Linked DNA regions of Saccharomyces cerevisiae S288C. Each later gene encodes a partner of the first gene's protein in a complex. Each region holds a gene or a part of one and is shown in the gene's direction. Other genes may lie near its edges.

Evidence for each region. Proteins that work in one complex are often made in the same cells at the same time.
Region 2: CUE3 (region 1) and SLH1 share a complex: the UniProt entries of both Saccharomyces cerevisiae proteins name them as parts of the RQT (ribosome quality control trigger) complex.

The regions. Positions count from the first base shown.
Region 1 is NC_001139.9:300,266-305,829, reverse strand, and holds CUE3 (Cue3p), read left to right. Parts: upstream 1-2,418; coding exon 2,419-4,293; downstream 4,294-5,564. Other genes in the region: RMD9 (Rmd9p), read left to right, coding at 1-1,497; YGL108C (uncharacterized protein), read left to right, coding at 1,759-2,181; ribosome biosynthesis protein NSA1, read right to left, coding at 4,461-5,564. UniProt on the Saccharomyces cerevisiae protein: Involved in activation of the ribosome quality control (RQC) pathway, a pathway that degrades nascent peptide chains during problematic translation.
Region 2 is NC_001139.9:1,029,346-1,037,900, forward strand, and holds SLH1 (RNA helicase), read left to right. Parts: upstream 1-2,445; coding exon 2,446-8,349; downstream 8,350-8,555. Other genes in the region: chromatin segregase YTA7, read left to right, coding at 1-2,164; EFG1 (Efg1p), read right to left, coding at 8,455-8,555. UniProt on the Saccharomyces cerevisiae protein: Involved in activation of the ribosome quality control (RQC) pathway, a pathway that degrades nascent peptide chains during problematic translation.

The DNA.
Region 1 (5,564 bases):
TACCGGGTGTCACGTTTGATTCATCTGCTGCATAACGGTCTGAGGTCGACGAGAGACCAATTGGTAAAATTAAGTAGAAAGCCAGACTACGATTCGCAATCTTTTCACAAGGAAATGATGAACTTTCTATGTAATTCATTAAAGGATATATCTGATGACATTTTGATAGGCAAGGTGTCTGTCAGCGGATATGGAGCTACTCATCTATTGACTTCATTTAAAGAGCTGTCATTTGACGATGACTGTATTCGAATTTGGGAAGCGTCAAAGAATTTGTCCGACGAGACTACTTCACAGGCATTCCAAGAACCAAAAGTGGTTGGTTTTATGCTGCCATTACTTTATGCAAAAACGCGTTCTCTGACTGAGCCTAACGAGCTATATAACCAAATTATTCAATCCAAAGAATTTATCCATCCCAATCTTTACAGCGGACTGATAAAAGTCTTCATCAAGGCGGAAGACTACGAAAAGGCATTATCCCTCTTCGGCCAATTATGTGAAAAGGCTGAAGTGAGGAATTACGGTTATTTAATTGAAACGCACTTAAGCTTCATTGGTGATTCCAAGAATTTAACGTTGGCAGAAAGTTTCTTTGACAAAATTATCAACGATGAAATGCCATACAAGATTATTTTACAAGTCTCTACAGTGAACTCTTTTTTGCAGAATATATGGAAAGCACAGAACGATTTTGATCATGTTTATAGAATATGGGAAAAGGCTGTAAAATTTTATGGTAACACTGTTAATCCTGGAATTTTGTCCTCACTAAACAACACTTTTTTCACAATATTCTTCGAAAACTATATTAATGACAATATCAATGGTTTCCGTAAGCTTCAAGAAATCATAACGTTTTACAGTGGGGTCAAAAAAATTGATGAACCATTTTTTAACGTTATGTTAACTAGAGCATCTATCTGGCACGAACGCAGCATAATCGATTTTATCGATAAAAACTATACTTTGTACCATATTCCAAGAACTATTATATCATATAGAATACTACTGAAATCATTGGGAAGCATAGACAACACGAATAATGAAGAGATTCTGGATAGATGGCTGGAGTTGGTCAAGAAACTGAATGAATTGGGCCAACAATATATAGCCAATGCTGATCTGTCCGCTTTGAGGGATGCCACTGTCGTATGGTCACAATCAAAGAGGGATGAAAAGGTCTTTTCTGCAAAAGCTAAAGGAACACCAGCAACGACTACGACCACAGAAGACGACATAAAAGTTCCGAAGCCATTGGAAAATTTGAAAAATGAGGATTCTACTTCGAATTCAGAAGACAGAATAGAGCTGTACTTGAAAATATTAAAAAGATATACGCCCTACTTTCGCGCTACCAAGCAAGTATATAGGTATACCACTGGATGCGCAGAGTCATACCCAATATTAAATGAGTATCTGAGCGGTTATTCTGACTTGAGTGCCGAGGACATTCCTGTTCCTCAACTACATAGCTTTATTGCTAAGGAGCAATAGTACTAGCGCATTCATTCTCCCCATCTCAATTTATGCATGCTTGTAAATAAACATTTAAACGTATAATATATAAGATCGAATCTTCTATGATCAAGAAATGTGTATATTTTTTTCCCTCATGTAATCAGCGATTTTTTCCCTCTAGAAAAATAAAAATGAAAAGGATAGGCATAAGACTATATAAAAGCGGTCTATAATTATCATTAACATCATCCAGGAAATTTGCACCAGCAAACAACAACAAATATTTAAGTACATAGTATGGGGCTTTGCGGAAGTAAAACCCAACCAATGCCTTCACAAACTACGACGGTGGCAACTAAAGCAAGAACAAAACCAATTAATCGTGATACAGTCAAGTCAAAGCAAGAACTTCGACATAAAGAGAAGAAAGATAAAAAGAAGAAGACACAACTAAAGAGTACAACTGTCCCGGTTGTGCAAAGGAAAGAAGGCAGCAAATTAACTGATACAAGTGATCCGAGCAAAAATAAAGTTAGCCCAAAGGAGGCCGCAAGGTTAGCTGCTGAGAAGAGATTTCAAGAGACGAATGAAAAGTACAATAAGGGCGAGTTAGGCAAAAAGCTAGCTCAAGAGCGTGCCAAGTCTCATAAGACTCGCTTAATGGAAGAGGCCGAGAAAAAGCATGCTGAGAGGGAAAGGGAAAACATGATTTATGACTGAGAGAACGACGGCAGTAATATTGTAATGAATCAATATATGCAATTGTACAAGAATTTTTTTGTTGGCCTTCCATTCTCCTCTTGGCTTTGTAACGTTTATATACCTGAATATCTGCCAATGGATTTTGCGCGGCCATAGAAAAAATGAAAATATAAAACACTAGTTCTCATAAATGAGAGACATTCGAGTTAACTATTGAATCTTGGAAATTTTTATAGGATAGAATCACTAAGAATAATGTTATCAAGGTACAACCGCGTTATTGAAATAAATGGGGGTAATGCAGATATTTCTCTGCCCATTGTCAAATTTCCACCGTTTAAACTCAGAGCTCAATTAATTGAAAAGGACCCCGTAGTATGGCTGCATCTAATAGAAACCTATGTAACGTATTTTGAGTATTTGATGCAAGGTGCTAACGTTGAATTATTAGATGAATCTACACTTGATCATCTTCGTTTATTTTTGAGAACTTACTTGCATGAAATTGCTGATGAGGAAGGAAAGTTATTAAGTCTCGGTATCAACCATGATGTGTCTGAACAGTTATATTTACTAAAAGGCTGGATATTTTCATTGATCAAGAAATGCGGGTTATTACATCTTCAGATTTTTGGTGACTCCCTGTGGAATTTGATCAAAGTATATGTTAGACGTAATCCAGATTCTATTCGTGGTTTGATCGATGGCTCATTGAAACCACGGATCAACACGCAACGTGTACAATTGGACAAATCGTACCAAGTTCAACAGCATTTGAAGCAGTTAATAGAATCTGGAAAATTTAAAAGAATAGATTTAAGGTGCGTTGAAGATCTGCTGTCTGCCAAATCCATGCAGCCAAATAAGTTTGCGGAGAACTTCTTTACGGCAAATTGGATTGAAATTTTAGAGGCATTATGGGCAAAGGGACAGGGCCGGGGTCATAAAGAGGCTAGAGAATTGATCATTATCAGTTTATTTTCTGTTTCTGCTGATCGTTTACTAAAAATAACTAAAGAATTAGGCATAAGCAATTTTGAAACTTTGGCGTTATATCCTCTTTTAGGAACAATGCTCATAAATGAAGGAGTCCACAAAAGGCTTCCTGATTTGAAGAGCAAGTTACTATTTCTGAATTTAGGGGGGTTGTCAATGGACGAAGGAGACCATATGAGCTATCCAACATCATCAGGTACTGAAGTTAATGAAGAACAACTGTCCGCGTTGATGGAATTGTTCCCCCAGTTTTCTAAATATCAATTATCTCAAACGTTGCTTGCCTATGATAATAACATTGAATTAGTAACGAATAAAATATTTGAGGATCCTACCATTATCGAAGCATTCTCCAGAGAACCTGCGGAGGAAGAAGTAGAGCCGGTGTCAGATGGTGATAATGCATCCTTTACTGAAGAACTGAGTATATTGGATAGAGGAGATAGCTCAAAAAATAAAGAGCTAGACAAAAAGATTATCTCGGAGGGTGTTCCGGATGAATTAAGAAATAAAACTTTGACAAGAGCATTGAAACTTTTATACGAGGCTGATGAAGATGAAAGGGATGACACTTATGATGAAGCCGATGTGAACCGGTCCGATCCTTCGAAAAGAATTGGACTTCAAGAAGACGAAGAAAGCTATGATACAAAAGATGATTCTAATGAAGTGCGACAAGATCATAACTATCATATTGTTGAAGCTTACTTGTGGAATCTATTGAAAGAGGATCCGAAATTATTTGAGAGATCAAAAAGAGGTACAAAAGTCAGGAAAACTATGAAAGAAATGACTTCATGGTCGGATGAAAAAATCGAAGGTTGGTGTCGGATGTTAGAAAGATCTCCTACCCGAGCAAGACTTTTAGAAAAGAAGTTTATGTTCAAAGGAAATAGCAAAACAGGGAAAACGTCTTATGTTCATAATCGTGATAGCCAAAATGATGGAAATGTCGTCAAAGAACAAGCCAAACAAAAAAAATCTGAAAATATTAAGAAACATGAACCTCAATCTACTGAACAGAAGAAAAGACAGCATGCTAAGAATGAAAAAAGGAAAGGGGCTAGAGCTAACCATAACCGTAAGAAGGGGCACGATAAAAAATTGGCTCGTGCGGGAAATAACGCTATTTGATAAAATGCATCAGCATACAAGATAGACAAGCGTATGTAAGTTTACTAGACGGTATACAATTATGTAACGTATTATAAGTTATTCAGCGTCGCGTTCAGGAAGTGCTTTTTTTAATAATTTTTCCCGCCGACTAGTAAAACTTTGCCTTCAATTAGCGTCCTTTACTATTAAATTTTGCTTTTCTTACTGGCTTTAGAAGCAGCTACCTTTCCCTCCAATTTATTCCAAAGCTCATCTGCGTCTTCTTCAAGTTCTGTAACCTTCCTTTTTTGCTTCCCTTTGGCAGCTTTCGCACTTGGACTTAGTGGCATCTCGATTTCAACGTCATCCAGCATAACAATAAAATTTATACGGGACCCAACATAAACCTTCACCAGCATTTTGTTAGTTTTTATATCGAAGATCCGAACATACCTATCTAAACCACCTTGTAAAAGATATTTGCCGTCATGTACATGAATATAGGTTGACGAACCAGTGATATCATCTCTACCCACCTTGCCCAACATTCTTCCATTACCATCGAATTTAAAAACATTCTTTTTGTAGTCAGTAGTAATCACATTCAGTTCATTAAAGGTTTCAGATTGAAAATTCCCCAACGAAGAGACAACATTTTCTCCCTTGGCATCAAAAACTTCCATCTGAGATAATGGTTCACGGTTAGGTAATAAATCTATCTGAGCGAACGGTTTTCTGCCATGTTGTGTGCTGTATTTGGTGAGGTGGGACCAACGGGTTATGGCTGCAAACTGGTAGTTCAGCTTACCCTTTTCAGTTTTACCAGGGGAGGGCTCCAAAAATCTTAGGGCCATGGGCCATACTGGGACTCTCATATCCAACCTGTCGTTTTTAACATTCTTGGCTTCCCAAATTTGCTTTAAAGATTGGAAACTCGAATCTATTTCCACTAATTTTATTAAATTCTCCTCCCCTCCGTATGCAAATATATATTTATCAGTATCGGTATCTTCTAGATCATATAACTGAAGAAATTCTACTGGTGCTTTCAGTCCAAGGGATGCTAGTTTTATTAACTTTTTATCTTCTCCTTTTTTTATAATATGTAATAATCCCGATTTGGTAGCAGCTACGAATGTGTTATTCGACGAATCCTTTTTTATGGGACATAATGTGACAAAACCATCCACCAACTTGGTTCTTTTAACAGATTTACTTGAAAGTGATTCCAATTTGGCATCATCAAAAAGGTCTGAAACTGAGCTGGTTATCTCAAACTCGGATATGTCAAATTTGGGTAGATCATCGGA
Region 2 (8,555 bases), 730 kb from region 1:
TAAAGTCAAAGTTAGCGATTTCATGTTAGCTTTGAAAAAAATTGTTCCGTCATCTGCGAGATCTACTGGTAGTTCTCCTCAGCCACTACCTGAATTAATCAAACCATTACTGGCAGATCAACTTAATAATTTAAAGAACAAGCTGGATTATATGCTGAACATTAAAGACACAACTTTTCAGAGAAACACATCATTGCTACAAAATTTCATCGATTATGAAGAATACAGTGGAGAGGAAGAAGAGCATGACAAATATGGAGGAAATGAAGATACATCCAGTTTTAGATCATATGAGTTTTTCGAATCGATGGCGGAATCACAAATTTGTAAACCTCGGTTATTAATAAATGGGCCCAAGGGAAATGGTCAACAATATGTCGGAGCCGCAATTTTAAATTATTTAGAAGAATTCAACGTCCAAAACCTGGACCTTGCCTCTTTGGTTTCGGAAAGTTCTAGGACTATTGAAGCTGCTGTAGTGCAAAGTTTTATGGAAGCAAAGAAAAGACAGCCCTCAGTTGTATTTATTCCTAATTTAGACATTTGGATCAACACTATTCCAGAAAACGTTATTTTAGTCTTATCAGGTTTGTTCAGATCTTTACAAAGCAATGAAAAAATTCTTCTATTATGCTTAGCTGAAAATCTTGATATATCTGAAGTTAAAAATGGTATTTTATCTGATTTTGCTTTTGATAAAAATATCTTTCAACTGCATAAACCATCCAAAGAGAATATAACGAGGTATTTTTCTAATTTAATTGAACTACTGAAAACAAAGCCAAGTGATATTCCCATGAAAAAGAGAAGAGTCAAACCGTTACCTGAATTACAAAAAGTAACTTCAAACGCAGCTCCAACAAATTTTGATGAAAATGGTGAGCCACTGTCTGAAAAAGTGGTATTAAGAAGGAAGTTGAAATCTTTTCAACACCAAGATATGAGATTGAAAAATGTGTTAAAAATCAAACTCTCAGGCTTGATGGATCTTTTTAAAAACAGATATAAAAGGTTTAGAAAACCACCTATTGATGATGCCTTCTTGGTTCATCTTTTCGAACCAGAGACAAGCAATGATCCCAATTGGCAACCTGCATATATAAAAGATGAGAACATGATTCTGGAGGTTTCAACAGGGCGAAAGTTTTTTAACATGGATTTGGATATTGTCGAAGAGAGACTTTGGAATGGCTATTACTCAGAACCAAAACAGTTTTTAAAAGACATTGAACTGATATACAGGGATGCAAATACCATTGGGGACAGAGAACGTGTCATTAAGGCCTCTGAGATGTTTGCCAACGCGCAAATGGGTATCGAAGAAATTTCAACCCCGGATTTTATTCAAGAGTGTAAAGCTACTCGCCAAAGGGATTTGGAAAGGCAGGAACTTTTCTTAGAAGATGAAGAGAAAAGAGCTGCAATGGAATTAGAAGCCAAAGAACAGAGTCAAGAAAATATACTGCAAGAACCTGATTTAAAGGATAACAAGGCTAATGAGTTTGGTGTAGCTGCTGGTAATCAATTGCAAGCTCAGCTGCAAACAACTATCAATACAGCCTCTATCGTTAATAACAGCGAGGTCCCTCAACCAATTGATACCAACCTGTATAAAAAGGAGATTCCTGCGGCAATTCCCTCTGCAGTAGATAAAGAAAAAGCGGTCATCCCTGAGGATAGCGGTGCAAATGAAGAATACACAACGGAACTGATACAGGCCACTTGCACGTCAGAGATAACCACCGATGATGATGAAAGGGCCAGAAAAGAACCAAAAGAGAATGAAGACTCTTTGCAAACGCAGGTTACGGAAGAAAACTTCAGCAAAATAGACGCTAATACTAATAATATAAATCACGTAAAGGAAATTCAATCGGTTAACAAACCAAATTCCCTCCACGAAACGGTAGAAAAAAGGGAACGAAGTCCGATACCAAAAGAGGTTGTGGAACCGGAGCAAGGGAAGAAGAGCGACAAGGAGCTTATTTTGACGCCCGAACAAATAAAAAAAGTATCTGCATGCTTAATCGAACACTGTCAGAATTTTACGGTTTCTCAATTAGAAGATGTTCATTCGTCCGTTGCAAAAATAATATGGAAAAGTAAATCAGCATGGGATAAAACAGGAACTGTCGATGAAATAATAAAATTTTTATCTGAATAAGCAGGAGTCCATAATGTTTATATAATTCTTAAATGTAGTTAGTTCATATACATGAATGTGCACTTTTCTTGAAAAGAAATAGATTTAAAACCACACCTTGTATATATATTATGCTTTTTTCCACTACTTTATTTTAACAGTCACTGTTCTGGCATACGTTTCGGGTAATGACCGAGAATGGAATATGTATTGAACATATTGAAATTAAACATGTTCATAATATCTTCTAACACCATTGGAATTGTGAGAAGTAGATCCGTACCATCAATAGCCGGCTCAAGATGTCAACTGAATACTCTGCTGATTCATCTAAATCATTTATGATTGCAATGCAATCTATGATTGATACTTCACAAACCTTTAATCTAGATAGATCGAAAATCTCTTTACCAGATTTTGATGACGAGCTAAAAAAAGTCCAAAAGGATGAACAAAATCAAAGAACTGAACTAACTGTTCTCTCACAAGATAGAAATGATTGGGATGATATATTTGAGGAGTTTAAAGACATTTCATTTGCTCAACTGCAATCTATAATTGATTCATACAAAACAAAGAATGCAGTTGCAGTATATAAAAAAATTGGAAAACTAATCAATGAAGCTGAAACGACACTAAGCAGCAATGTATTATTAGAAACTGTACTGCAAATGGTTTATAAACATCAAAAGCAAGAGTTAGAGAAAGAATTGTTGGATTTTTTAGGAACAGGGAATATAGACCTTGTTTCTCTGTTACTTCAGCATAGAAGAATGATCGTTGCTACACCTATAGAAACGACGATTCTGCTAATAAAAAATGCGGTCAATTCAACGCCAGAGTTCCTGACACAGCAAGATATCAGGAATCAAGTTTTGAAAAGTGCAGAGGATGCCAAGAATAGGAAATTAAATCCCGCCACTAAAATAATCAAGTACCCACACGTCTTCAGAAAATATGAAGCAGGATCCACTACAGCTATGGCCTTTGCCGGTCAAAAATTCACTTTGCCAGTAGGGACTACAAGGATGTCGTACAATACCCATGAAGAAATTATAATTCCGGCAGCAGATCAGGCATCCAACAAGAACTATCTCTATACAAAACTATTGAAAATAAGTGATTTGGATCATTTTTGCAAGACTGTATTTCCCTATGAAACTTTAAACCAAATACAATCCCTTGTTTACCCCGTAGCTTATAAAACAAATGAAAATATGCTAATTTGTGCACCTACTGGTGCAGGTAAAACAGACATTGCATTACTGACAATAATTAATACAATAAAACAATTCTCCGTGGTCAACGGGGAAAATGAAATTGATATTCAATATGATGATTTTAAAGTTATTTATGTTGCCCCTTTGAAAGCACTCGCTGCTGAAATCGTCGACAAGTTTAGTAAGAAATTGGCGCCTTTTAATATACAAGTAAGGGAGTTAACAGGCGATATGCAATTGACAAAGGCGGAAATTTTAGCCACTCAAGTAATAGTCACAACCCCTGAGAAATGGGACGTTGTCACCCGTAAAGCAAACGGCGACAACGATTTGGTTTCAAAGGTCAAATTACTAATTATTGATGAAGTTCATTTACTGCACGAAGATAGAGGTTCGGTTATTGAAACTTTAGTTGCACGTACCTTGAGACAGGTAGAAAGCTCTCAATCAATGATTCGTATTATCGGTCTATCAGCTACATTACCCAATTTTATGGATGTAGCAGATTTCTTAGGAGTAAATAGACAGATCGGAATGTTCTATTTTGATCAATCATTCCGTCCAAAGCCTCTAGAGCAGCAACTTTTGGGCTGTAGAGGTAAGGCAGGTAGTAGACAAAGTAAAGAGAATATCGATAAAGTCGCTTACGACAAATTGAGTGAAATGATTCAAAGAGGGTACCAGGTAATGGTATTTGTCCACTCAAGAAAGGAAACTGTTAAAAGTGCAAGAAACTTTATCAAACTAGCAGAATCTAACCACGAAGTTGACCTTTTTGCACCTGACCCTATCGAAAAGGATAAATATTCTAGAAGTTTAGTGAAGAACAGAGACAAGGATATGAAGGAGATTTTTCAATTTGGTTTTGGTATCCATCATGCTGGTATGGCCCGTTCAGATAGAAATCTTACTGAAAAAATGTTTAAAGACGGTGCTATCAAGGTACTGTGTTGTACTGCAACATTAGCATGGGGTGTTAATTTACCTGCTGATTGTGTTATCATCAAGGGTACACAAGTATATGATTCTAAAAAGGGTGGATTCATAGATCTAGGTATTTCAGATGTTATTCAGATTTTTGGCAGGGGTGGTAGGCCGGGCTTCGGTTCCGCAAATGGTACGGGTATTTTATGTACTTCCAATGATCGTCTGGATCATTATGTTTCCTTAATTACTCAACAACACCCTATCGAATCTAGATTCGGTTCCAAGTTGGTTGATAACCTGAACGCCGAAATTTCATTGGGGAGCGTGACAAATGTAGATGAAGCAATCGAATGGCTTGGTTACACATACATGTTTGTTCGTATGAGAAAAAATCCTTTTACTTACGGTATTGATTGGGAGGAAATTGCAAATGACCCGCAATTATATGAACGGAGGAGAAAAATGATCGTAGTAGCTGCAAGGCGATTACATGCTCTCCAAATGATTGTGTTCGATGAAGTGTCAATGCATTTCATTGCAAAGGATTTGGGCAGGGTGTCCTCTGATTTTTATCTTTTGAACGAATCCGTCGAGATATTCAATCAAATGTGTGATCCCAGAGCCACCGAAGCTGATGTATTGTCCATGATCAGTATGAGCAGTGAATTTGACGGTATAAAATTTAGAGAAGAAGAATCCAAGGAGTTGAAGAGACTTTCTGATGAATCTGTTGAGTGCCAGATTGGAAGCCAACTTGACACCCCTCAAGGTAAAGCAAACGTGCTATTACAGGCTTATATTTCCCAGACTAGAATTTTTGACTCAGCACTATCATCCGATTCGAATTATGTTGCTCAGAACTCTGTTAGAATTTGTAGAGCATTGTTTTTAATAGGTGTCAATAGAAGATGGGGTAAATTTTCAAACGTCATGCTAAATATTTGCAAATCTATTGAAAAGAGGCTCTGGGCCTTTGATCACCCTCTCTGTCAGTTTGATTTGCCTGAAAATATTATCAGACGCATCAGAGATACTAAACCTTCCATGGAGCATCTTTTAGAATTAGAGGCAGATGAGCTCGGAGAGCTGGTGCATAATAAGAAGGCCGGGTCTAGGTTATATAAAATATTGAGCCGATTTCCAAAGATTAATATAGAAGCTGAGATTTTCCCCATTACAACAAATGTAATGAGGATACATATTGCATTAGGTCCAGACTTTGTATGGGATTCCCGGATACATGGTGATGCACAGTTTTTTTGGGTTTTCGTTGAAGAATCTGATAAGTCGCAAATCCTTCATTTTGAAAAGTTCATCTTAAACAGAAGGCAGTTGAATAATCAGCATGAAATGGACTTCATGATCCCATTGTCAGACCCTTTGCCTCCGCAGGTTGTCGTAAAGGTTGTGTCGGATACTTGGATTGGCTGTGAATCGACCCATGCCATCTCTTTTCAACATTTAATCAGACCATTTAACGAAACTTTACAGACAAAATTGTTGAAGTTACGTCCTCTACCTACATCAGCCCTCCAGAATCCTTTAATTGAGTCAATTTATCCTTTCAAGTATTTCAATCCCATGCAAACTATGACATTTTATACACTTTACAATACCAATGAGAATGCGTTTGTTGGCTCGCCTACAGGTTCTGGTAAAACGATTGTGGCTGAATTGGCTATATGGCATGCCTTCAAAACATTTCCTGGGAAAAAGATTGTTTATATCGCACCAATGAAAGCATTAGTACGTGAAAGGGTTGATGACTGGAGAAAGAAAATAACACCAGTGACCGGAGATAAAGTTGTAGAGTTAACCGGTGATTCTTTGCCAGATCCTAAAGATGTGCATGATGCCACCATTGTTATTACAACTCCAGAAAAGTTTGATGGTATTTCCCGTAATTGGCAAACTCGTAAGTTTGTTCAAGATGTATCTTTAATTATCATGGATGAAATTCATTTGTTGGCTAGTGATCGTGGTCCTATCTTAGAAATGATTGTTAGTCGTATGAATTATATTTCCTCTCAAACCAAGCAACCGGTCAGACTGCTAGGTATGTCAACTGCTGTTTCAAACGCCTACGACATGGCTGGCTGGTTGGGAGTTAAGGACCACGGACTGTATAACTTCCCGTCAAGCGTCCGTCCGGTTCCATTGAAAATGTACATTGATGGATTTCCAGATAATTTGGCATTCTGTCCTCTGATGAAAACAATGAACAAACCTGTGTTTATGGCCATTAAACAACATTCACCTGATAAACCAGCATTAATATTTGTTGCATCGCGTAGACAAACTAGACTAACGGCTTTAGACTTGATCCACTTATGTGGAATGGAAGATAATCCACGTAGGTTTTTGAATATAGACGATGAGGAGGAACTGCAATATTACTTATCACAGGTCACTGACGACACTTTAAAGTTATCACTCCAGTTCGGTATTGGATTGCATCATGCAGGTCTAGTGCAAAAAGATCGTTCTATTTCTCATCAGTTGTTTCAAAAAAACAAAATTCAGATTCTGATCGCTACATCAACCCTAGCGTGGGGTGTCAATTTGCCAGCTCACTTGGTTATCATCAAAGGTACACAATTTTTTGATGCAAAAATTGAAGGATATAGAGATATGGATTTAACAGATATCTTGCAAATGATGGGGAGAGCTGGTAGACCGGCTTATGACACTACAGGTACTGCTATCGTTTATACAAAAGAGTCCAAAAAAATGTTTTATAAACATTTCCTAAACGTTGGTTTTCCTGTCGAGTCCTCCTTGCACAAGGTATTAGATGATCATTTAGGTGCAGAAATAACGTCAGGTAGCATAACTAATAAGCAAGAAGCGTTAGATTTTTTGAGTTGGACATTTTTGTTTCGTAGAGCGCATCATAACCCGACATATTATGGCATTGAAGATGATACAAGTACAGCAGGAGTCAGTGAACATTTGAGTTCTTTGATAGATAGCACATTAGAAAATCTGCGAGAATCACAATGTGTTTTATTACATGGAGATGATATTGTTGCTACGCCATTCTTAAGTATATCCTCATACTACTATATTTCACATTTAACGATACGCCAATTATTGAAACAGATACATGATCATGCGACTTTTCAAGAGGTATTACGATGGTTATCGTTGGCTGTTGAGTATAATGAATTGCCTGTAAGAGGTGGTGAAATTATCATGAATGAAGAAATGTCGCAGCAATCGAGGTACTCCGTTGAAAGCACTTTTACCGATGAATTCGAATTACCGATGTGGGATCCACATGTAAAAACATTTTTATTACTTCAAGCTCATTTAAGCCGTGTAGATTTACCGATTGCAGATTATATCCAGGATACCGTATCAGTTTTGGATCAATCTCTACGTATTCTACAGGCTTATATTGATGTCGCCAGTGAATTGGGTTACTTTCATACGGTATTGACCATGATAAAGATGATGCAATGCATAAAGCAAGGGTATTGGTATGAAGACGATCCTGTTAGTGTACTTCCAGGATTACAACTGAGAAGAATCAAAGATTACACTTTTAGCGAGCAGGGGTTCATTGAAATGACGCCGCAGCAAAAGAAGAAAAAGCTGTTAACCTTGGAGGAAATAGGAAGGTTTGGATATAAGAAATTATTAAATGTTTTTGATCAACTAACTTTTGGAATGACAGAAAGCGAAGATACGAAAAAACGTTTCGTCAGTGTCTGCCAAAGATTACCGGTTTTAGAAGGCATGAAATTTGAAGAACAGGAAAATAACGAGGTGTTAACATTTTATAGCAAGCACCTTTCTAGTAAGCATAATAATGGGTTTGAAGTATATTGTGATAAATTCCCTAAGATACAAAAAGAACTATGGTTTTTAATTGGACACAAAGGCGATGAACTGCTGATGATTAAAAGGTGTCAACCAAAACAAATGAATAAAGAGGTCATAATACATTGTGATCTATTTATTCCCGAAGAAATTCGTGGCGAAGAATTGCAATTTTCCCTTATTAATGACGCTTTAGGATTACGTTATGATATGGTCCATAAACTAATCTCTTAGTGAGACACAATTAAAACAACAATTATTTTGTGAAAGATAACAGTGGAAATCTATCTAGTATACATCTTCGTATATATTTTCTTACATAACGCATTTAGAATTTTTTTACTCAAAAAAGTCATCCTTTTCATCTTCTCCCACAACTTGATCCAATTCTTTTCTATCCTGTGTAGGTGATACTTGTGATCCATCCTCATGATCTTTAT